Linked DNA regions of Caenorhabditis elegans. The protein of the gene in region 2 purifies or fractionates together with the protein of the main gene of each other region. This does not show direct contact. Each region holds a gene or a part of one and is shown on either strand. Other genes may lie near its edges.

What was found.
Region 1: the proteins of perm-2 (region 2) and cbd-1 purify together in Caenorhabditis elegans (affinity purification with mass spectrometry, with the first as the bait; one study listed by BioGRID). This does not show direct contact.

The regions. Positions count from the first base shown.
Region 1 is NC_003282.8:11,368,673-11,381,599, reverse strand, and holds cbd-1 (Chitin-binding domain protein cbd-1), read right to left. Parts: upstream 8,610-12,927; 5' UTR 8,607-8,609; coding exon 8,561-8,606; intron 8,514-8,560; coding exon 8,419-8,513; intron 8,374-8,418; coding exon 7,818-8,373; intron 7,772-7,817; coding exon 7,163-7,771; intron 7,117-7,162; coding exon 6,196-7,116; intron 6,148-6,195; coding exon 5,869-6,147; intron 5,822-5,868; coding exon 5,486-5,821; intron 5,438-5,485; coding exon 5,010-5,437; intron 4,964-5,009; coding exon 4,631-4,963; intron 4,588-4,630; coding exon 4,231-4,587; 3' UTR 3,973-4,230; downstream 1-3,972. Other genes in the region: fbxb-76 (F-box domain-containing protein), read left to right, coding at 2,252-2,328, 2,973-3,426; sec-31 (WD_REPEATS_REGION domain-containing protein), read left to right, coding at 9,848-9,913, 9,961-10,100, 10,147-10,341, 10,390-10,606, 10,652-10,824, 10,930-11,317. UniProt on the Caenorhabditis elegans protein: In unfertilized oocytes, maintains egg-1 and egg-2 at the plasma membrane together with chitin synthase chs-1 and kinase mbk-2. Essential for the formation of a continuous and cohesive chitin layer following fertilization.
Region 2 is NC_003282.8:1,122,491-1,132,761, forward strand, and holds perm-2 (uncharacterized protein), read left to right. Parts: upstream 1-4,299; 5' UTR 4,300-4,310; coding exon 4,311-4,394; intron 4,395-5,228; coding exon 5,229-5,388; intron 5,389-5,438; coding exon 5,439-5,674; intron 5,675-6,084; coding exon 6,085-6,168; intron 6,169-6,214; coding exon 6,215-6,262; 3' UTR 6,263-6,375; downstream 6,376-10,271. Other genes in the region: perm-4 (PERMeable eggshell), read right to left, coding at 713-1,173, 2,334-2,481, 2,539-2,595; C44B12.6 (Clip domain-containing protein), read right to left, coding at 6,658-6,720, 7,352-7,473, 9,345-9,402, 9,582-9,743, 10,119-10,271.

The DNA.
Region 1 (12,927 bases), about 10 Mb from region 2:
TAGCTAGGCAGTATTTGGAGTTCCGAACCTACTGTAATGCACTGCAAAATTCTTTTGCAAACGCCCTACTTTTAAGAAACTGTGTTTTTTATTTATATCTGGGCTGGTAAACAATTGAAAATTGGAAACTTATTAAAGGGACAACTGCATTCATATTATAGTTTGTCTAATAAATTCAAGTTTGACATGAACCTTTGAAACTTTTGAAACGATGACATACTAGATCTTCTTTGAAGTACATTCACTTTTATTTGGTTTTCTGCTCGAATATTTTTCAGTGTCAAATGCACGTCCGCTTCTCCTTTTCATAGAGGAAGAACTACAAAATGTTATATGGAGCATCAGAATGAGAAGAAAATGAAGAAATATCTAATTGATACGCCTTTCAGAAGCGGACCACCTGCGGTCCAAAACAACGAAAATGATGTGAGGGAGGACTGGAAAAAAGAAGAAAAGGAGATAAATGAGAACGAATTAAATTATCTATCAATAGTTGTTCTTCTGTACTTTTTCTAGAATATTAGAAAACAACTCAATGAATGGAAAATATAAATGACTCGAATCGCCTAGCTGATCCATTTTTGAATCATTAATATCTCATTCAACCTATCCAAAAGGGACTTTTGAAATTATGAACTTTCTCCATCTAAATTCAATTTCTTTTCATGTGATATTTGCTCTTTTTCAATGTGATTTGTGCTCTTTACATCAAATCCTCAAAACTCTAATACCACACAGACTATATTAACAAACTCATTTTGATTTAGAATTTATATGTATGACGCCTTGCATTTTCAAGTTTCTGGAAGGTTGAAGGTTTATAGTAAGATTACGGCTCTCACCTGGATACAATTTTTCTTACACCAATTTGAATTTTGTAAGACAATAATTTGTTTACTTTGAAATAAAGACGTCTTGAGGCGGGTGACATATTCTGTTTGAAAGCCCTGACTGGGAAACGCTGGAGGACGTGTGAATGAAGTTTTGCTTTAACATTTCCAAAAATAGTCTAAAATTCAGAAATAAGACAAAAAAATGGAAATCGATTAAGAATGCAAATTTCAACTGTGAAAACCCAAATGTTTAATTTTGGCAGAGTTAAATATTTGTATTCGGCGAGAAAAATATGAAAAGCTAGTAATTTTGGCAGAACTCATAGTCAGATAAAAATGTAAAACGGAGACTAGAATGGTGACCTTAAAACTGATCAGACGACATTTAAAGTATTCCAAATACGTACCAATTCCAGAATCAGAAAAGTTCAGGTATAATTTCAGCTGCCAGTCACTCTGAATAACTAGATTCCACTCACTCTTTGATCATTCGACGTTTGGATTATTTATATCTGGAACATAGTGTCATCACTCACGGAAATCTGACGTTTCCGGATCACTAATATTATTTCGAAAAGCAACCACGGAAGAGCTTTCATTTGAAATTGATCAAAGCATATTCTCCTTCAAGCCTTTCAAATTGTATTTATTCTGTAGCAAAAACACAACAACAATGATTGGACACAGTTATACTGAAAGTTTGAAAGTTATCTCAGTAGAATATACAAATAATCAAAGTTCTTTGCCAGCAATAAAATGGGTCGATGATCGCGTAAGGAATGAGAAAAAGTCCGTACGAAAACTTTGTGGCAAGGACAATTGAAGTTAATTTTAGTAAATGTGAGAATCAGAAATAGAAAACGATGAAACAAATAAACAAAGGAAAAGGGTGCATGATGTTCTACAACTTTCGAGGGAAAATTGAGGGAAATTACTATTTGTCAAAAGTGAAACCATATACGAGTTTCTAGATAATAATAGATATCTATAAGTCCTCTTTTTTTATAATTTCGTTTATCATTTCGAGAGCTAAATTAAACCATCTCGTTGCATGGTTTTTTATGCATTCGTTGTGATTTCGTTGTGAGTGATTGAAAGCTGCCTTCGTGATTTACAGGCGGTGTCGGCAAGCTATTAGGCTCTTGTGTGTTAATATTTTTAAGATATATAACATCATTTTGACTGAATAAAATATTCCCCTTCAATAAATATGAACGTAAAGGTGGCCTTTGACCCAGTTCTTCCTAATTTTATAGTGATTCAACGCGTTGTCTACTCGAGTGGGCATTACGAGAGAAGCAGAGGATAAGAGAAAAAGCAAGAAAGATCTGAAAATAGGATAATAATGGGGTTAGATCATAAGTCTCCCTCTTCCATTCAATATTGTAACACAGTCACTGTTCTCCTATTCTGACACAATGAGCATCTTTCCTCTGCTCAATCTACCTGAGAAATCTCTGAATTACGTTCTTCGAAGAATGCCTTTAACCGAATTGTAAGTTTCTGAAATTTTGTGTTTATCCGTTTTCCAAAACTTCTTAAACCCTCCACCGTTTTTTGTGTGACACTTTGACCTATAAAAATGGGGACACCAGTTTGTTATGACGTCACGCATCATTAGACGTTGCTCGACAAAATACGCCTGACGACACACTAATAACCAAATATTATTGTGTCGCAGAAACGCCGTTTGTAAAATAATTATAGCTGCCAATATTAAAGTGGAACTACCGTATTTCTTCTATTAGTATTGCAGTCTCTAATAGTCTTGCACCTTTTTTTTGACTATGAGGAAACTTCAACGAATTTGTAATTTTTGGATAAACTTCTCAAAAATTGTTCTAATAGAGGATAAAGTATTAGAAAATAATGTATTGGTTTAAACGGTTGTATTGGTTTAAAAGTTTTCCATAAAATTTGGTAACTGTTCCGAAGTTATGGGGCTTTTGAAAATTAGTCTTGCACCTGTGAGAGGTCAGTTCTATACTGCCTCTCCGTTTCTTTTTATCGAGTGCACTCGATCATGGCCATCGACAACTGGTGGGGTGAGAGAGCACGAGAGAATAGATACATTTTATTCTACATATGAGAATTAACATCATTTCTATCCGGAGGCAAAAAAAAAGTTTCTTGTTTCAGAATTGGATTCGCTCTCATTTCTCAAACGGCAAAAAATCATGTTGAGAATTTGAATATAAAAATGAGAGATGTTCTGGTGGGTTTAGAAGACAATATACGATTTTATATTCGGGCCGATAGGAATAACTTTGTTGCGTCCGCGTTCTTCTCATTTGATATAAACCAAGTCCTTGAACAACCTGGTAAACGTGAATTCATTCTGAAGACTAGTGAAGGACAAACTTGGACCAATCCAGGACTTGGAGTGAGACAATTTTTGGATCATGTTCTTGAAATAGGTCATCATCCAGAGCTTTCTATTTTCTTCAATAAGATTGATTGCGACGAAGATACAATTTGTGATATGTTTGATGTTTTGGCACTTGAAACATTCGCAATGTACATCGGAAACTTTGTTAATATTTTTTATCAAAAAATGTTGAAGTATTATTTGAAAAACAAAAAAGTACAATGAACGACACTCCATAGAGACATCCAAATGGAACGACAAAACCGGAAACAATTTTGAGAGAAAAAAGTTAGAAAAAGTCAAAAGATTGGTGTGAGTCAAAAGAATGTGCCCCCTTGGGTGCAAGTTGAATAAAGAAAGTGAAGAAGATGGATTGAATGATCACAAAATGGAAAGTTTACAAGGAAAATTTTTCAGGGGATTTCTGGAAAATAACTAAAATTGGAAATTGCATTTCAAATCACACAAGCTTTTCAGTTTTCAACTTCAAATTATTTTCTTGAAATTAATATACGTCTAAAACTCTCTGAAACAAATAGCAATTTTGTCAACTTCTATTTTCAGCAATTGTTTTCTTTTCAATGATACTACAAATTTCTGTAAAATTTATAAAATGTTTACTTTCATTTTTGTAGAACACTGTTCAGAAGAATATCAAACAATCATTGATTGATACGAGAGAATCATTCAGATGAATTGCGTCCCTTTCACATTTACAGCGGCATTTTTTACGGAAACATCTATTATAACTTTTGTGGGGTTCGAATCGGTACAGGATTGCATTTTATTTTGGAACAGTTGGGGCTCGCACGATTTATTTAACAAAATTTTAAACTTCAAGGTATCGTTGAGCATGCAAATAAATCAGATTATTATGACAACATGAAAACTTGGGTGTATGGGGTAGAGAAAAATGGGAAGGGAATGATGCTGAATAATAGCTGATTAGCTCAAGAGATCAAATGCAATAAAGTTAGTACATGTAAAGATTAGATTAGTTTGCGGAATGGGGGTGTTTAGAACAACTTATCAATATCCCGATTTATCATCATTGTACGTCGAACTGCCGTATGAAGAGTTGCTGTCAGACGCTTGGCCAGAACAAGATGGTACTGCGCTTGGCCAATCGCAAACGGACAACAATGGATTGAACACGGTTCCCGATGGGCACGTCATCACAACCTTTCGTCCCCACACGCATCGATAGAAAACTTCGCAGTTATTGGCATCAGCGATGAAAGATCCATGTTCGGAGCATTCTCCATTGGTTTGACCATGGTTCTCGCATCCACTGACTTTTTGTGGGTAGTCGCATTTGCCGGTCAATTGATTGAATGCAAGGCTGGATTGACATGATGGATGTTCGAACAGTTCTCCTCCGAAGCACTGAAAAATTTCGTTTAAGTTTGAAAACATTCGTTAAAAATACCTGAAGAATTGCCGAACAATCTCTTTCGTTTCTGTAAAGGCCATCTTCCTTTCCATCACAAAAAGCGGACTGATCATTACTGGTGTAGTACTTCTTGATGGACGGATTTTTCGGAACAGTACACGCGGATACAGATTCTCTAACGATACACTCCAACTTGTCATTTGAAAAAACACGATCTTCGGAACATTGTTGAAGTTTTGAAGCACCGTACGAGCATCTGAGATATTTGCTGCTGCAGACACCAATAGAAAAGACAGCTTCCCCGTCCACATGTGCACATCGTCCTTCAAACTGCTTTGGTTGAGCAGGAGCGGGCGTTGTTGCAATCATCTGAAATTCAGTAATTTGTGAGATACTAGCTTAATAATCAACTCACATCCTTGATAGCATCACGAATAGCCTCCTTTCCACAACCGATTCTAGGAACGCATCTGTTAGAGTGAGAATCGAAGAGTTTCCCAATCCTGCACAATTTCTCAACGTTTCCGGCGTCGGTACATTCCAGGTATGTGCGAACGCAGAATCCAACGGGGGTACGTGATCCAACGGTGCATTTTTGGTCGTGCTCCACGTCATCCTCTTCTTCGTCTTCGCTGTCATTATCGGCTCGGTCATAGGATCTAGTAGACGTGGTTTCATCTCCGTATGGAATAGTGTATTCACCGCTGTCTGTTGTAGAATATTTAGTGGAGCCAGTGATGTAGGTGTCCGTTGGCCCGTCATTTGCAACTGTAGTAGCAGCCTCAGTTGTCGTAAGAACCTCTTCTAATGTCTTGTACGGCATTAACTGAACAAGACCAGCATCTGAAATAATTAGAGGATTGAAGCTTAAGAAATATTGAAATTTGATACCTGTCGTAACTTCCTGCTCATCACAAGCTCGAGCTGGAATTTCACTGAAAGTCCGGCAACCTTGTACTGATGGATCGTAACCTTCACCCAGCTGGCAGTTACCCGAACTGATAAGGCGTCCATGTGAACAGACGAAGTAAAACGATGAGCATCCCGTTCCATGAGTTCCATCTGAGAGACTTGTGCAGGTATCAACTGGGTTGACAGTAACCGACGGAATGTACGGTGCCACGGAAGGTTCATACGTTGTTGGCTCATCCTCTGATGGCGATGCTGGAGTAGTTGTGAAGTCCAAATACGGAACAGTCGACGAAGAACTTACGTCTGCTGTTTGGCCTGAAATTGTAACTTTCATAATATTTTCAAACAAAGTTAAAACTCACATTTGAACACTTCGTCTCTGAAACGGCAACTTTGGCTTCGTTCATCGAAATACAGAGACCCTTCACATTCTCTCACAGATGCAGCACTATCCGAGCACTGGATGTACTTTTGCGAGCAACCTAGATCAAAAAGCCCAGAAGCAACATAAGCGCATCGATCTCCAACCGGCGTTTGTGTGGTGGATGGGACATCATCCGATGGGATTCCGTAGTAGTTCGATGACTGATCCTGGCCTGGTGTAGTGATAACAGGTGAACTTGTAGATCCTTGGGATCCGCCTGAAAATTATCAAGTTGATATAAACCTCAGCTTAGACTAAAGCTTACACTCTGGAACTTCATCTCTGTAAGTACACTCTTGTGTGGCCTCATTGAAATACAACGATTCTCCACAACGACGCACAATTGCTGCTCCATTAGAACATTGAATGTATTTTTGCGAGCATCCAAGTGAGAAAAGGCCTGATGCGTCCAATGAACAACGATCCCCAATGGGAGCAGCTGAAGTCGATGGCACGTCATTTGAAGAGTATTGGGTGGTGTAAGATTCGTATGAATTTGGAGCCTGAGTGGTTGATGGTTGATCATTCCATGTTGATTGAGTAGTGACGCCGTCATTCTCAATGTACTCAGAAGGTGCAGATAAATCGTCTGAAGTCTGTGTTCCGATTGTGACAGCGACTATTGTTGTTGAAACACCGCACGTTTCTGAGCAAGAACGAAGAGTTTTGTCGAATGTTTCTCCAATTGGACAAGCTGCCATACGATTGATTCCGTTTCCAGAGCAGAAAATGAACTGATCGAAACAGTCGCCGAATGTAAGGAAAGTGGGAGTAGTGTATTGTTGACAGTCCTTGTTTACTTGAGCTTGTCGAGCAGATATTTGTGCAGACTGCTGTCCATATACAGATTGTTCAGTTCCGTAGTAGGCTGAACGCTTCCTTCTCGTGGCTCCGAACAAATCTTTTGCGTCGAACGTTTTCTCGTCGTCATAGCCGTCTGGATCCTCATGTGGTCCCAACTGTTTTTTTGAATGACGATTCTTCGGGAATACTTGCTCAATGTTAGATTCAACAAACTTCGCGTTTGGCCCTTCGAACTCATCATCAATCAAGAAACGTTTGTTTCCATCAACCTTCCTGGCATCTCCTTGGATCTTTCCCATTCTTGCACGGCGGTAGTCTTTGAATTGATCGCTAAGTGCAGCACGACCACGGAAAGCGGTTGAGAATGGAGAATCAATGGCCGCTGAAGTATCAAAATTATCACAAAGAAAAGACTAATCCTAACTTACGTCCATAACCATAGCGGCGATGATCTCTGTGGCTGCCTCCACGGTGTCGAGGGATGAAGAATGGATTCTCAAGATACGAGTTTCCATTTACCGGTCCGTAACTCGGCTTCCCATGATGATACTTACGCCTTCTGTCGAATTTTGGTTTCAGACGAACGTTCTCATCAAATGGACTGACGATGGTATCCGATGGAGGCCCGTAAGAGTTGTACGCAGGAGCGGCGGGAACAGTGATTGGTTGACATTGTGGCAAATCGAACACGCACATAACGAGAGAGGACTCGAAGAGAGTGTTGACTGGACATTGCTTTGAACGCACCGAGTTGTTCTGACAACGATTGAATCGTGACGAACACATCCCGAAGGAGTTGACTTGTCCCTCCTGACAAACGAACGGAGTTTGCGTCGTTGTTGTCGTTGTCACGGCATCAAATCCAGTCGTAGTTGTCTCAATAGCATCAATTGAAGGTGTTGTTGTTGTTGAGATGACATCAGCGGAAGTTGTTGAGCTGTATTCACTGTCATCTTCTTGCGGTGTTGTGATTGTAGAAGTTGAGTACGATACAGTGGTCGTTGGATCATCGGTCGTGCATTGGAAATCGCAGGACTCTGAAAAACGAAGAAATTAACATAATACTCGATCACGTGCACTTACGTTGATTGATATTGAAAACTGTTCCCGGTGGACAGTATCTCTGGAACACCATGTTGTTGCTGCATGAGTAGAATACGTCATTGCAACCGTCGGCGTAGTTTCCGTCTTCCAGACCGTTGCAATCGAAGTCAATTGAATCCGGCTGCTCGTTCGACGGTTGACGTTCGTAATCTCCAGCAATCTCACCGGAAGCTTCTCCGTATCCTTCTTCACCATCTTCGTAGACTTGTGGTGCAGTAGTTGTGTCCTGTTTCACTTCGTCGCAAGATTCACGACAATCTTGGGTTCTTTCGTTAAAGACCAAGCTATCAGGACATTTCGCCATGTAGGCTCCGCCGGCGACGCAGCTGATAAACTGGTTAGAGCAGCCAATGGAGTAGATGCCATCCTGTTTCGATGTGCAGTCGAATTCCGCATATGGGGTGTCATCTTCTTCAGTGTTTTCATCTACTCGACATTCTGGAGATTCGTCGACTGGCACACATTCGTCTTCGTAGAAGACAGAATCATCGCTGCAGGTGGCTGCTTGCCTGACTCCGTTCACACATATCGAGTACTGAAAATAAAGAATTATATTTGAAACGGAGGGCTACTGGTTTACCTCCCGACTGCATGCATTTCCTGCTATGTTTCCGTTGAAGTATGCAGGGCATTCTGTGGCTGCTGGTGAGTGCGGGTATTGAATAGAATTCGAAACTGGAAAATAAAAATATTTGATTGAAAAGAAAGAGGCAGAAACTCACAAAATGTTAGTAGAAGCAGCGAGACGGTGGCTAGCTGTGGCCCCATCGCCTGAAATTGATAACAGTTAGAGGATGAATATTTTAACTTAAAAGTTTTACGAAATAAAAACAGAAAAGGTTCAAAATGGTCGCCATTTCAGGAGAAACTAATAAAAATTAGAGCTAATGAAGAAGGAATGAAATGGAACATTCGAGGTTGAAAACTCAATCCAAAAAATTTCCCGCTCGAGCCTAAAACTGGGGTCAAATAATTTTTGATCTACTGCACTTTTACATGTCTGAAATGGGTATTGGCATACATTTGCTCAATTTTATTCTTTAAAAATTAATTTTAGATCATAAAATTAATGAAAACAAACAAAATATTATGAGAAAATTCAAGATATTTTCAAAATTAAGAAAAACTAAAGAATTGTGCGGCCCAAAAATAACAGAGTACGGTATTAGTTAGCAATCGTGGCGAGACCCAACTAACAACATACATGATCCTTTAATACCAACCGTTTCCATTTTCCAAAATATGTTTTTTTGGTTGATTTAATTTTAATTGCATCCAATTTTTTGTTAATTTTCTGAAACAAAAAAATTAACTTCTAAAAATTCATAGTCGGTTTAAATAATTATAACTTTAAATAGAAAGTTTGGACATTAGCGGCTTACTTGACTACGGTATGCAAAAGTACGCAAAGACACTTCACGTCGTTTTGCAGATCCACGGAAAATCAATTTTTTTTTTGATTTTTAAAATCATCGTTTCGTTTTCCTTCGGGAATAGCGAAATTAAGGTTTTTAATGAACTTTTTTCCTCGCTTCTTTCAATAGCTATTAGTAGAATTTGTGTATTCTCTGTTTTCTCTGTCCGCGCGACATAACTTGAAAAAACATTGTCTGATTTCTTAAACATATAACAATTAGTGTTTTATTTTCTTTTTGATATTTTTCTTAAACATTTTTAAATAAGAAGCTTCTATTTTTTCGAAAATTGGTGCGATGAGTTCACTTTTTGATATTGAAATATTTTGAATTACTCCTCCCAAATTGGGAGTCCCAATTTTTATATGCGGAACATTCTAAGGAACATTCATTCTGCCATTTTTCTTTTCCGTTCGATATCGGTGTTTCTAGCTGTCTGAATTACATCAAGACTACTCTTTTAAAAACTTTCACTTCCTCCTATTTGTTCGAGTGCAAAGGAGCGCACTTACTCCCTGTTCAGCTGCTCTCATTCATCCACGTCAACGTTACAGCTAAAGTTACAACAATTGCTCATTAAACGGAACACGATCGATGAGCTCGAAGCTCTACTCACGTTCCGGCGTATTTGTCTGGAGTCCACGTGGAATTCAGAAAAAGGTAATTAATCAATCTTCGTCTATAATTGAAATAAATCAAATTTTCAGGGCTTAATTGTTGCTGATTTCGCTCAGTTTTTTGACCCGACTGCAACATCAATCGAACCAAAGATCGATTTTTTGCCAGCAAGTGAGATATATGAAAAATCGAATTTGGCCCCGAATGTGTCGCATGCCACTAATTATCGGTGAGAATTATAATGTGAAGCGGTATAGTGTATTTCATAATTTTAGATTCAATGAATTAGCCTGGACTTCTCTGTGTTCCGATGCACATCCGAACGGAATAATTGCTGGCGGTACAGAGGACGGAACTGTGGTATTTTTTGATGCTGATAAATTTATCAAGAATCAATCACTAGAAGTTCTTCTTTCTCGAAGAGATCATCATGGGCATGTTCTCACTATTGATGTTTCCAGGGACGGCAGGTATGAAATGAAAGTTTACAAGAACAATTCAAAAAAATAATTTTTAAGATGGATGGCTTCTGGTGGAGGCTCAGGACAAATTCTTCTCTGGGATTGCGCAAATCTGAAAACACCATTCTCTCCCGGTTCGCCAAATTTCCCAGATCAAGTGAAACTTCTTCGCTGGAACTTGAAGAACGAGTCTGTGTTTGCTTCCATATCGTCCAGAAGAGTCAGTTTTTGGGATTTGAGAAGAAATGGATCGCCGGTGTTAGAATTCGCAGAGGTTGGATTTTCAATTGCCTGGTGGCTATTAAAGTTCTATTTGCAGATTCCTGGCTGTGATTGGTCTTCGCTCTCTTGGAATCCTTCGGACGCCTCACAACTTATAGTTTCCAGCCAATCTCAACACGCCTCTGTTATTCAGAAATGGGATTCGAGATTCACTTCAACACCAGTTAAAGAATACAGACATCATAATATGGGAATTACGAGTGTTGACTGGTAAGTTTTTATTTAAAAGTTTGTTGATTATATAATAAAAATTGAGCTAGACAATTTATTTTTGTACAAAAAACTATATAAAAATTACGAAAAATATTAATACAGGAACAAAGCTGATGATCGTCTTGTAATTTCATCTGGCTGTGATGGACAAGTGGTTATATGGAATCACGAAACATCTGAGGTGCTTGGAGGTGTTGGAAGTCTTCAAGGAGACTGGATCCGAAATGTTAAATGGAATGAAGAGGAGCCATCACAATTTGCTATTCAATATTTCCAACATCCTGTTCAAATATCCTCATTGACTAGTCTTGGATCTCCGCAACCAGGAGCCGATGTACTTGCCGCTAGGATCTCCGATCAATTTGTTCCTGCATGGCACCGTGCTCCCTTAATTGGCTCATCAATAGCATTAGGTGGACGGTTGGCAACATTCTGGAAGTCCTACGATGCAATGACCCAACAATGGCACCATAATGTGGAAATTGAAACGGTATTGAAATTTTATAACAAATCTCGTTTTTGACTAGCGGGCCCTATGGGGCCCGCTAGTAGAGGTTGGGTTGGGGCGAGTCCGCTAGCTGGCGCGGGTTCTCGGCTTCGCCTCGAACGTGCGATTGGCAATGTTTTGGGTCTCGCACCGCAGGCCTACGGCCTGCGTGGCTTCCTGAACCAGTATAGCAGGCCTTCGGCCTGCTATAATAGAACAAAAATATGTAAGTAATCAAATATACTGTAGGGATAGTCAAAAAGGTTGCCACAGGCAAGAATTATTCAAAACAATTGCAATTGTATGTACATGTACACGTGGACAGCCAAAGACGACATGTTTGAGGGGTTTATGGTGGGGTGACGATGTGTCGAGTAGAAGAATATCTCCACTATATGACTGATAATTCAAATATGTTGATTTTTGGGAAGAGTTGGGTACCCAGGTGAGTTGAATAATACAACTACCACTGGCGGATGAGGGGAAGGAGGGGGCCGGGCAAAGACTTTTCAAACTTCGACGCGTCGTAACTTTGTTCATAGTAGGAATTGAAAAATTAAAAGTATATACTTGAACTCAGCGTTAAAAGGAGAATATGATAGCATTTGAAATTTTAGAAATTGGTGAAGAATGAACTTTTGAGCTTCCTAAGCATGGCCTGAAGCCTACAACTTCAGGAACGGGGCTCGAGGAACTCATGACCAAAAAATTTTAGTTTGTCTCGCTTCTCATAGCAAAAATAATAAGAATTAGGACATAAAATTCATTATCCAACAGAAAACTGGTCCAGGAAAAGAGGAAAATTGAAATTTCGAGGTCAAAAATTAAATAAACTAAATTCGTTGAAAATGATCGTAGAGGACTGTGCTTTCAGCTTGCATTCGGTATTTATGTACTAATTACGAATTTAACATAAAATCCCATTCGGTAGTGGAAAATTTTTTATTTTTCCAGCAAAAACGTCATTTTTTTGAGAAAATGCAGAAATTTGCGATTTCTGAAGTTATTTTTGACTTTTTTGTAAAAAAAATTATATTTTTGAAGAGTAAATTTCCTGAAAAATACGTTTTTCGAAAAATTTACCCCAAAAAGTGCCAAACTGACCGACTTACAGCCGAAAGAATCTCAAAAATCACTAATTTGCACACCAAGGGGTTGCGCACAATTTCATTGAAAAATCGTCAATTTATGCTTTTTTCGTAACTTTCCGGTTGGATAATGAGAAAACTATTTAGAAAAACGGAATCTACGTTAAAATTTACATTTGATAATGTAAAATAAAACAAAAATACGAACGTTAAACATGTTTTCAACGCAATTTTCGAAATTCCGGGATTTTTCGAGTCCGATTTTCAAATCATCATAACTCAGTTCAAAATTGATGAAATTGCAAAAACTAAAAATTTTTATCAATCCCAGATATACAGTTACCTTATCAAAAACATTTTATACTATGACCTCTAAACGTGTGCAAAAAAAGCGACACTACACGCGAAAAAAGTGATTTTTTCGTGTTTCATCAAGAATTTCTCTTAAAAGATGAAATCAAATCAAATAACCATTTAGATAATAAGATAGAAAAAGCGATTCTCTATTTCCTACAAAAAAGAAAA
Region 2 (10,271 bases):
GGCCTAATGCCAAATTCTCAAACTTTGGAATTTTCTAAAATTTTTCAAAAATCCAAAACTTTTTCAGTTTTTGAGATTTTTTAGTGAATTTAGTGTTAAATTAAAGCGGAAGTTTCAATTTTTATGGAAAAAACTAGTCTGAACGCTGAAAAACCATATTTTCTTCAAAACTAGACGCTTGAACTCGTCATATGGCTTAAATTTAGGGCTTCAAACTTCGAAATTCGGAGATTTTTTGAACATTCTCAACTTTCTTAGTTTTCAAGATTTTCTAGAGATTTTTGGGCCAAATTAAAGCTGAATTGTTAAATGTTGTAGTGAAATTGTTTTAGTTATATAAAAACTAAATTGTGGTAAAAACCAAAAAGAAAGTCATTGGTCCAAAATTAAAAGTTTTGTTAATTCTGACAGAAATTTGAAAATCTATAACTTTTTCAGTGTATGAGATTTTTCAGTGATTTTTTTGCCAAATTTAAAGTAAATTTTGAAATTATTTAAAAAGGATTAATTTTAAATTTTCAAAAAATTTACTGTCTTCAAAACTAGACTTTTAGACTCGTAGGCCAAAATCTTCAAATATCGAAATTCCGCGGTTTTTTGAAAATTTATAACTTCCTCATTTTTCAACATTTTTTTTGTAATTTTTGAGCCAGATTAAAGCAAAATCACTGAATTCCCAACAAAAAAAAATAGTCCTTAAAATATTCCCCACCTGAGCAGCTGGAGAGGATCTTGGAGCACAGCACACGCACTTGACATTCTTATGATATTTCTTTGGCTCCCAGTTGGCCTCTGACAAGTAGGTAGAGTCAACCTTATGGAATCTTCCACGTCCATGTTTTCCGTCCTTCTCATCAGAATCCGAATCATTATCATCATCATCATCAGCTCCTCTCTTGGATCTCTTGAATGTCTCATCATCATCATCCTTGGTAATAGCCAAGAATCCGAAGAGTTGATCGTTGGGAAGGGAAGTGTCACGACGGGCGGTCTGTTGGCAGCAGAAGTTACAGGAATCTTCATCATGGGTAGCAACTTCGGAGCACTTTACACGAACGGCACGATTAGCTGGGACGGATGGGGCTCCACCGTAGTATGGCTGTGGGTGGCGATGATGGCGGCGGACAGAGTCGACGACGAGGAGCACGGAGGCGTCGAGGTCGCATACGAAGCCTGTAAATATTTTTCATCTTAAAATTCAAAATTTCAGCTTCAATTTAACTTAAAAACTGATAAAATATCTCAAAAACTGGAAAAGTTGTAGATTTTCGAAAATTTTAGAAAAAAACCATTTTAGTTAATTTGACAAAAAAAATTCCTGACTCAAATCAGTTTGTTCTACAGAATTTTAAAAAATTGGCTCTAATTTTACAATAAATTCAATAAAAAATCTCGAAAACTAAAAAAGTTATGAATTTTCGAAAATGTTCAAAAATCTATTATATAACTTTCTCAATTTTCGAGATATTGGGATGGTTTTTGTGGTATTTTGAGGGTAAATTTTTGAATTTTCAAGAAAAATTAGTTTTCGATAAAAATTGTCGAAAAAATTTAATAGCAATAAAATTTGACTCTTCCAAAAAAAAAAGTCCAAAATTTCAAAAATTTTTGAAAATCTATAACTTTCTCAATTTTTGAGATTTTGGGATGGTTTTTGTGTCATTTTAAGGGTAAATTTTTGAATTTTGTATAAAAAATAATGGAAGCTATCGTAACCTAGGAAAAGTGTGTTTTCTACCGAATTTCAATTTCTTTCAAAATATAAAATTTAAGCTTCAATTTGGCATTAAACTCAATGAAATTTTTTGAAAATTGTAGCTTTTTTGAAATTCTGCACCAACTAGATTAAATTTAATCTAAATAAATACTACAGTAACGCAGTTAATTTTGCCAAAAAATTTAAAAAAAATTAATCTTTAATTTGACATAAAAATCAAACAATTATCTCAAAAACTGGAAAAGTTACAGGTTTTCAAACATTTTCAAAAATTCTAATTCTGATAAATTGGCCTAAGTTCTACAGATTTTTTGAAAAAAAAAAACAGTATTTTTGCAACAAAATTTGAAGAACTAGCTTAATTTTGATTTAAAAATTATTGAAAAATCTCGAAAACTGAGAAATTTATGAATTTTTCAAAATTTTTCGAAAATTTGAAAATTGACAAAACTACCTATGAATAAGTCAATTTTTTGATGATTCCCAAAAAATGTTACATTTTTGAAATAAGTTGGCTATTGCGGTTCAAACAAGTATAATCATAACTAGGTCTACGCAAATGCGCTCTATTGCCAAATTACTATAGCTCTTAAAATTTGAATTTTCACGAACTCACGATCTTGAATAAGTGGCTGCCAGTATCCTGGTCCGAATGCTGGGTATCCATATCCTCCTCCATTTCCATAACCTCCTCCTCCATACGATGGACGACCGCCGTAGCGACCAGCAGCGGCCTCTGACTTGACCTCTTCGGTGGGTGTTGGCTGCAGAAAATGTTTCAGATTATCCTAAAATTGCGGAAATCCAAAAAAACCATATACCTTTGCACCGAGGACGGCGGCCAGCGAGGCGACTGTGAGAAGAAGAACGGTTTTCATTTCTGAAAAGCGATCGAATGATGGATTTGTCGGCGGAGCCATGCTTTTATAGTTCGGGGGGAACATGGGATGGGCTCCGCCTACAGAAAAAAAAATCAAGAGGAAAAGCTTGAGGAAGATGAAAGTAGAAATGTCTGAGTTGATGGAACGGGGAAAAAAGAGGAAACATTGAAAAGATGATCGATAGATTTGCACCATATCTCGGCTAATTTTCAAGATATCAAAAAAATTGTAACTAGACAGTTATAGAAAAAGTAATAATAAATAACTTGCCAGTTGATAATTTTTTGATAAAACCAAAGGCTACGAAGATATGAACTGTTAAAGTTGATCAGTAAATTTTTCATCGATGCACCAAAAAGAAGGGAATCTGAAGCATAAATAATGCATGTAAAACCTACTGCCAAAATTTTACAATAAAACTACTCTCAATGCACCATAATCAGCATTTTTGTTCAGCAGCTCGTATCCCTCTTATGTATTTTTATAAATATCAATTTATTACAAAACTTTGTAAAACTATGTAATGCATATTTTACGTGTTTGCAATTTGCTCATTGATATGTAAATTGTTGAAATTTTATTGGCAAATCCATAGAGAAATCCATTAGGAACACTATAAATCACTCCAAAGCTTTCAATTCACAAGGAAAGGAAGTCAATCTAGTCCCGGACTTTGAATCAGGACATATGCCTTTGAAAGCTTATGTTTAGACTAGATCACCAAAAAAATTTCAGCGGCGGAACTCAACTCTGAACCCCTGAAAGCGCCATCTGAAAGTGCTCCAGTGCATTTTTTTGCTGAATTCTAGGTCAAGTAAATGGCCTTAAAAGTGGCTAGAGCGGTTAAAAATTGTTTTTGGGGGTCTTTAGGGTCAAACAAACAGTGTGGAAGCTTTTTGGAAATTTTTATTTTTTTCCAAAAATCTGAAATTTTTGCGGTGATCTAGGCTAACCATAAGCTTTCAAATGACATACGTCTCGATTCGAAGTCCGGGACTAGATTAACTTACTTTCCTTGTCAGACAAATTTTTCACATAATACGTTAATTATCTATTTCATGCCCAAATTCCAGGTATTTGCACATTTCTCCATTCTCATTCAATTGCACTTTCACCCATCACGAGTTGCTCCATATGAAATCATCTGAAATGTCTGAAATTCCAAGCCCACTCAATCATCCCATTTCTCATATAACATGTTGCAATCAGGTGGGCGGCGGCTGCGGCCGGCAGGAAAAAGAGCCCAGCGGAATGTGTGATGGATTGAGCAGCGAAGAAAAAAGAAAATGGAAAAGCTGAAAAAAATAGTCGGTCGAAAAAAAAGTGACCTAAGGATGTGTTGCAACATGTGTCTGAGATCCAGCGGGGTTCAAAGAACTAATTTGTGTATCTTTTAGCAAAGTGTATTTTGAGAAAATCAACACATTTTGAACTAGAACACTGTAGAAAAACTGTTAAGGAACATTTTTCCAGTTGATCAAGTCCGAGTGATTCACCATGTATTGGAGCCTTTTGACTTGTTGGCTCAGTTACCACAGCTGTGAGATTTAATTCCAGGTTCCGTAGCAAACATTTTTGCGCTCCAAACCTTTTTGTTTTTTATCCAACGCCTAACGTTTTCCCCTCAAACTACAATGCCGAGTTCCCGCCTCCATATCTCTGGCGGATCTCAAGTATAAAAGCGGCGAAGCATCTTGGCTCCGATCATCATCATGTTTTCCACCACTTGGATCGTCGCGTCTCTGGCACTTTGCGCCGCTGTCACCTGCGCTGTGAGCACCGAGGCTCCTGAGAAGGTAAGCGTTACTGTTGGTTCTGTTGGAACTAGGAAAAACGGACTGTAAGGTTACTGTAGCTTGATAGATAACTTGATTTAGACACGTTAAAAAGTAAAGCTGTTATAGATATTTGACTAAATCTTGATGTATTGTCAGTAGGTATAATTAGTTGTATTCAAGTTATTAAGATTAGGTTTATTCCGTATCACGTGTGCATTAGTATGTATCACGTAAGGGTTACCTATACTATATTGTGATATCCTAAATAGTAAGTCTAAATAAGATTACTTGCTAAGGTGTAACTTGAATCGGACAGAAAATTTAGAGGTAATAAGATTTCTTGATGAAATGCTATGTTGATTAAGCGTAGATATATTTAATAGAATTCAACTTATTAGGAAGGTTAGTATACATTTAACTAGTTTCTTTTACCTAGGTTCTGCTCCTGGAGTTACTGTGGCTAGATGTAGCTAGACCTTAAATATATGTACCTTAAATAGGATGTAGGTCTAATTCAAATTAAACACGTTACGAATATGGCACATTATTTAATCCGATACAAAGGTAATACTATAAGTAGGCATGTATATTGAATAGTATTCAGGGAGGTATATTAGGACTAATTAAATACTTTTGAGATTAAGTAGTAACTGTTAAATACTGAAAGTGTAATAATTGTTTAGCTTTTAATATTTACCATCATTCATTTGAAGTACTTGTTCTAGGTAGCTTACTATTAGTATAGGAACGTAATCAATACCTACCTTTGAATCTAGACTAGTTTAGAATTTAGTACTAGAAAAAAATTATCAGTAAGTATGAGCGAATAAAATTTTATGTCCAATTTTCCAGCAATCCGACGTCAAGGACGCCCCAGCTGGAGCTCACTATGGCGGTGGCTACGACAACGGACCATCCTACAACCAACCCCAATACCCAGTCTACCAGTTCCCAAACTTTGACGTCAACTATTGCTCTGTCCACGCTTCCTTCCCACTTGTCGGTCTTAGAAGTTAGTTTTAACAACTTTCCTACGGGTCCCGTTCACCTTAAAACTTCTAGAGCACCATCGCGGTCACCACAGAGGCGACCGCGTGAAGAGACAAGCCTACGGAACCCCAGCTCAAGATTCCAACTACAACAACAACCAGCAATACGATGCTCCAGCCTACGGACCATCCTTCATCCAGAGACCACGCCCGTTCGAGCGTCAGGCTTGCAGAAACACCGCCATCTACTCGCAGGAGTCGTGCCAGAACTGCTGCTCCATCTCGTCCCGTGCCGCTGGAAGCTCATCGGTTAGTGCGGGTCAGAGCTATAGCTTTGGTTTATTTTTAGACTTAGGTTTAGGCTTAGGCTTAGGTTTAGGCTTAGGCTTAGGCTAAGGCTTAGGCTTAAGCTGAGACTTAGGCTTAGGCACAAGCTTAGGCTTAAAGTTAGGCATAGGCTTAGGCTTAGGATTAGGCTTAAACTTAGTTCCACCTGTTTTAAGGTCTAGAAACTGTTTTTAGCGTCTGAAAATCATTTTTTGTAATTTTAACGCAGTTTTTAAGCAAATTTTGAGGCCTAAGCTCTTTTGCCTCTACGAAACATATTTGAGGTTGCAAAGCAATTTTTAGTGTATCTGAGAACATTTTTCCGAGTTTAAAAGCTCGTTTTTAGTTGCCTGAAGCTCGTTTTCCCCCCAAAAATCTCTCCAATTTTGCAGAAAGTCGTCGGAATTCTGATGATCTTCGACCCGAAGCTGTCCGCCGACAAGAAGCACCACAAGAAGGACGACGACTTAAACTCGGTGAGCTCACAACTTTTGAAACCCTGCCAAATTTATTTTTTTTCAGCCAGACCGTGCTCTTCAATGCGTGTGCTGCACCTCGAGAAGAGTGTAATTCAACTAATTCCACGTGGCCAACTATTTTATCGATTTTTTTCTTTAAAAATTGTTTTCTTCAGTCAATCAATAAATATATATCGTACTTTGAACCAAAAAAAATATTCATTTGACATATAAAGAACCAAAAAAACTACCCGATTAGTGTGGAAAAATGGGGTCAAAGGACAAAAAGTGAAACAAATAGGAAATCGAGAAATGCAAATTATGAAATGAGACGGAAAAATTGAACATTTAATGAAAATGACACAAAAAATATCGGTTTTTGGCAAAATTCAGAATTTTAGGCGAGGGTTTTTTTTCAATTTATACAGAAAACAGCTGAGATCACAAAAATAGGGAAAAAACTTTGGATTCTAACAATCTACTACTGATATGATGAAACAAATGATGCTAAAGTGGTGTTGATGGCGGTGTTGGCAGGGAATGCGAGTGGGTTCCCGAGCTGATGTGGTTCTGAAAAAATCAATAATTTTTTTTTTTGGAGAACGGGATGAGGAAGCTTTGTCTATACCGCGGTTGTGAAATTGAACTTTTTTAAAAATGAATATCAAGAAAACGCCTGTGGAATTAAAATTGAAACTTCTTTTGTTGGTTCAGGGCAGATAATATAGTGATTTTTCAGCTCTAACAGTTTGTTTTAAAATAAAACAATTACATTTCGAAACTTACAATCTTTCTTATAAATGGAAATTATTAAAGCATTGTGAAATCTTTGCAGCGCATTTGGCTTAGTGGCAAACCTTTTGAAAAACATGTTAGAAACTTTTCGGGTTGAATTTCTTTTTTCATAGATTTCTCCCACTTTTTAATAGTCCAAATTTGCAAAAAAAATCATTTTAAATCCTTAATCCCAAAAGCGGAAATGACGTGGTTTGTTTGTTTTTTCTGGACCTTTTTTTTTCCTTTTTTTTGGGATGAAAAAATTCGCAAAAAATTTTCCCGTGGTGGAGAGTTGAACTCATTACCACCCGAAAAAGTGTGTCAATTCCAGCAGCTTGTTTTGAATTATATCCATCTATTGCCTGATCTATTGTTCGCCTATTCCCAATTTTTTTGCACATCAAACCAAAACAAGCTGACTCACCGAGAACACCGGAACACACGCAAGTGCGACTTTTTGTACTCGTTCCACATATTTGTCGCACGAGTCGTCGAAGAGCATCACTCGCATGTTGTACATCATTGGCTCGCAGTGGATTATGCCGCCTTGAAAATATTAGGTTTATCTGGTGTTTTTGGGCGATTTGAGTAGAAAATTTGAATTCAGCAAGGTTTATTATGGTATAAACCTAGGATTTTTACATTTCTACTAATAGTAAAATAGTTTCCTATGTACTAAAATTCCAGAAATTACTATTTTTGACTTATGAACTTTAAAGCTCATATCTCAGTTGCCTTTAAATTTATCAAAATAATGTCAACTGGCAAAATATTTTTCATTTATTTTTCTTTAACATAGTAAAAAATAAGTTTTGATATCAATAACTTGAACCGAGTTACAAGCTGTTAAAGTGATCTACAAGACATGGTGCATCGACCCCGAACTTTGACCGCTTTTATTTCGATTATCTTTGGTGATATAAAAAATTTGTTAACTACCAAAATATTGCTTGTCAACTTTTCTACAACTTTGTAGTCGATTTTATTTTTTTATCATCAAGTTGAACCGAGATATAAGCTGTTAAAGTGAGCTGCGAGACATGGTGCATCGGCCCCGAACTTTGACCGCTCATATCTTGATTTTCTTTGGTGTTATCAAAAATTTGTTAACAAACAAAATATTGTTTATTAATTTTTCTATAACTTTGCAGTTAAGAATTTGTTGGTACGGTTAAGGTTAACCCAGTTATCAACTGATAAAGTCATAGTGCATCCACCAACTGAGTGTTGCTCAGAACATTTTCCAAGATCAAGTTAATATCAATTTTTGCAATTTTTCTGATCTGTCGCAGCTGAAACTTCTAACTTGATATAATATTTCATCAAGTTTAATTCCCAGTGTCTAAAAATGCGGAAATTCCAACTTGAAGATCAGTTTCTTGCACTTTTCCGTGACTCGGTGACAAAATCGAACACCAAAGTTTTGTTTATTCACTCAAGTTCAGCTGTGTGTATGACACATTGTCTGAATATTTGTTTTGAGCTAACAATAAGTATATGTAATCAGGTGTGAAAAAGTATACCGAAAACAATTATTTTAAGTCAAATTGCACTTATATTTTGATCAAAAATAAGAAAATTTTGAGCATTTAAAGTTGAGTAAACCAAATTTAGTTGATGCACCATGGTTAGCTTTTAGTTAAAAAGCTTAAATCCTAGTTTAACCAGCTGATAGGAAAATAGTTTGGCATACAAACTGTAGAAAATTAAATTCTAAATATTTTGTTAGTTAAACGTTTTAGGATAAAATCAATGACAACAAAGACATAAGAGGTCGAAGTGAAGAATTCATCCATGCACCATGTCTTGCAATACTAATTCATTTATGACAATCCCTAGACATTCCATTTCCCCTTGAAAAATACAAGCTAGGTTGCAAAATCGAACATCGACAGGTGAAAAACCATGTTTCAGGAAACTTTTGCTCGCCTACTATTCTATCAAGTCACCTGCCAACAAAGTGACGAACATGCACAAAATCGAACATTTTTGATAATTCTACTTTTTTATCGAACACCAGCAGGTGTTATATATACTTTTTTGTTGTATTTTGTGCAGCCTAAGGATCAAACTTGTGTTGAGAGCAAAATTAGATGTCAAATTCTCAGAAGACGGGGTTACGCCTAAGCCTACACCTAATCCTAAGCCTAAGCCTAAGCATGCGCCTAAACATAGGCCTAAGCACTAGGCCTAATCCTAAGCCTAAGCTTAAGCATTGACCTAAGCTTAAGCCCGACCTCTGCGAATGGAAAGTTGGACAAATTTGAAATTTTAGCTCAAAACTTATAGTCGGCATAACTTTTTTTGAAAAATTTTCAGAACGCATCATTAAGAAATTCGCGGTTTTAAATTATTTTTAGTATAAAAAGCCAAGCCTCAGATTTTTTCCAGCAGTTTTTTTTCCCGGAAATACTCACCATGAACCTTCACATGCGGACAGGAACACTCGACTTCTGAAATTGCGGCGGGTATCCTCTGAAATAATGTGTTATGAGTGTCTGGCGGTGCCATGGTTTAATTAACTGAAGCTCGAACAAAAGTTCATCTAATTTTTGATCCTCTTCCTCATTTGACAAGTGTTATTATAAGGAAACTAGCAATTTATAATGCACCTTGGCTTTTGGCTACGTGCAAATTCCCACAAAAACTCTTACTTTCTCGTCGTAATTCAAAATGTGATGATATGGGCATATGGATCGTTCGGATAACGGTTGATCCGGTAATACTTCTGATGATTTATCGATTGACGGCTCCGAGCAATCCCGGGATTTTGGTGTGAGCATGTGTCGGTGCAGGGGTTGGTATTCGAGAAAGATCTGAAAAAATACTTTTTTTTAGAGTTTTAGTACGTTTTTCAGGGATTTTTCTGAGAAAAGTTCAAATTCCAGCTAATCGGCTAAACAACACGCGCCTGCGGGATAGTGGAGTGTCGTTTGGAATTCGAAAACCTACTTGATTTTGATTTTTAAAACGGCATTTTTCTTGAAATTTCGAATTTTTCCTTTTACTGCCACTTCAAAATTCAAATTCCCGCCGAAATTAAACGGCTAAACAACACGCACTGGCGGATTAGTGGAGTGTTGTTTGGAATCAAAAAAGTTTTTAAGACTTGATTTTGGAACTTTTTTTGTTCAAATTTTCACAAGTTTTTCAAGCTTTAAAAGGAATTTACAAATTTTTCTGGAAGTCACCTGTGAATCTGGCTGGAAAAACGAGAACATATCCTCATCCCGTCGATTTATAAGCCTTGAGAACGCCTCGTGCATTTGCTGATTCGCCGTGCTCGCACACGTTTCTGCGCTCCTTTTCTGATGCCTTCGTGTTATCCGAGCGTCCAGTGATAA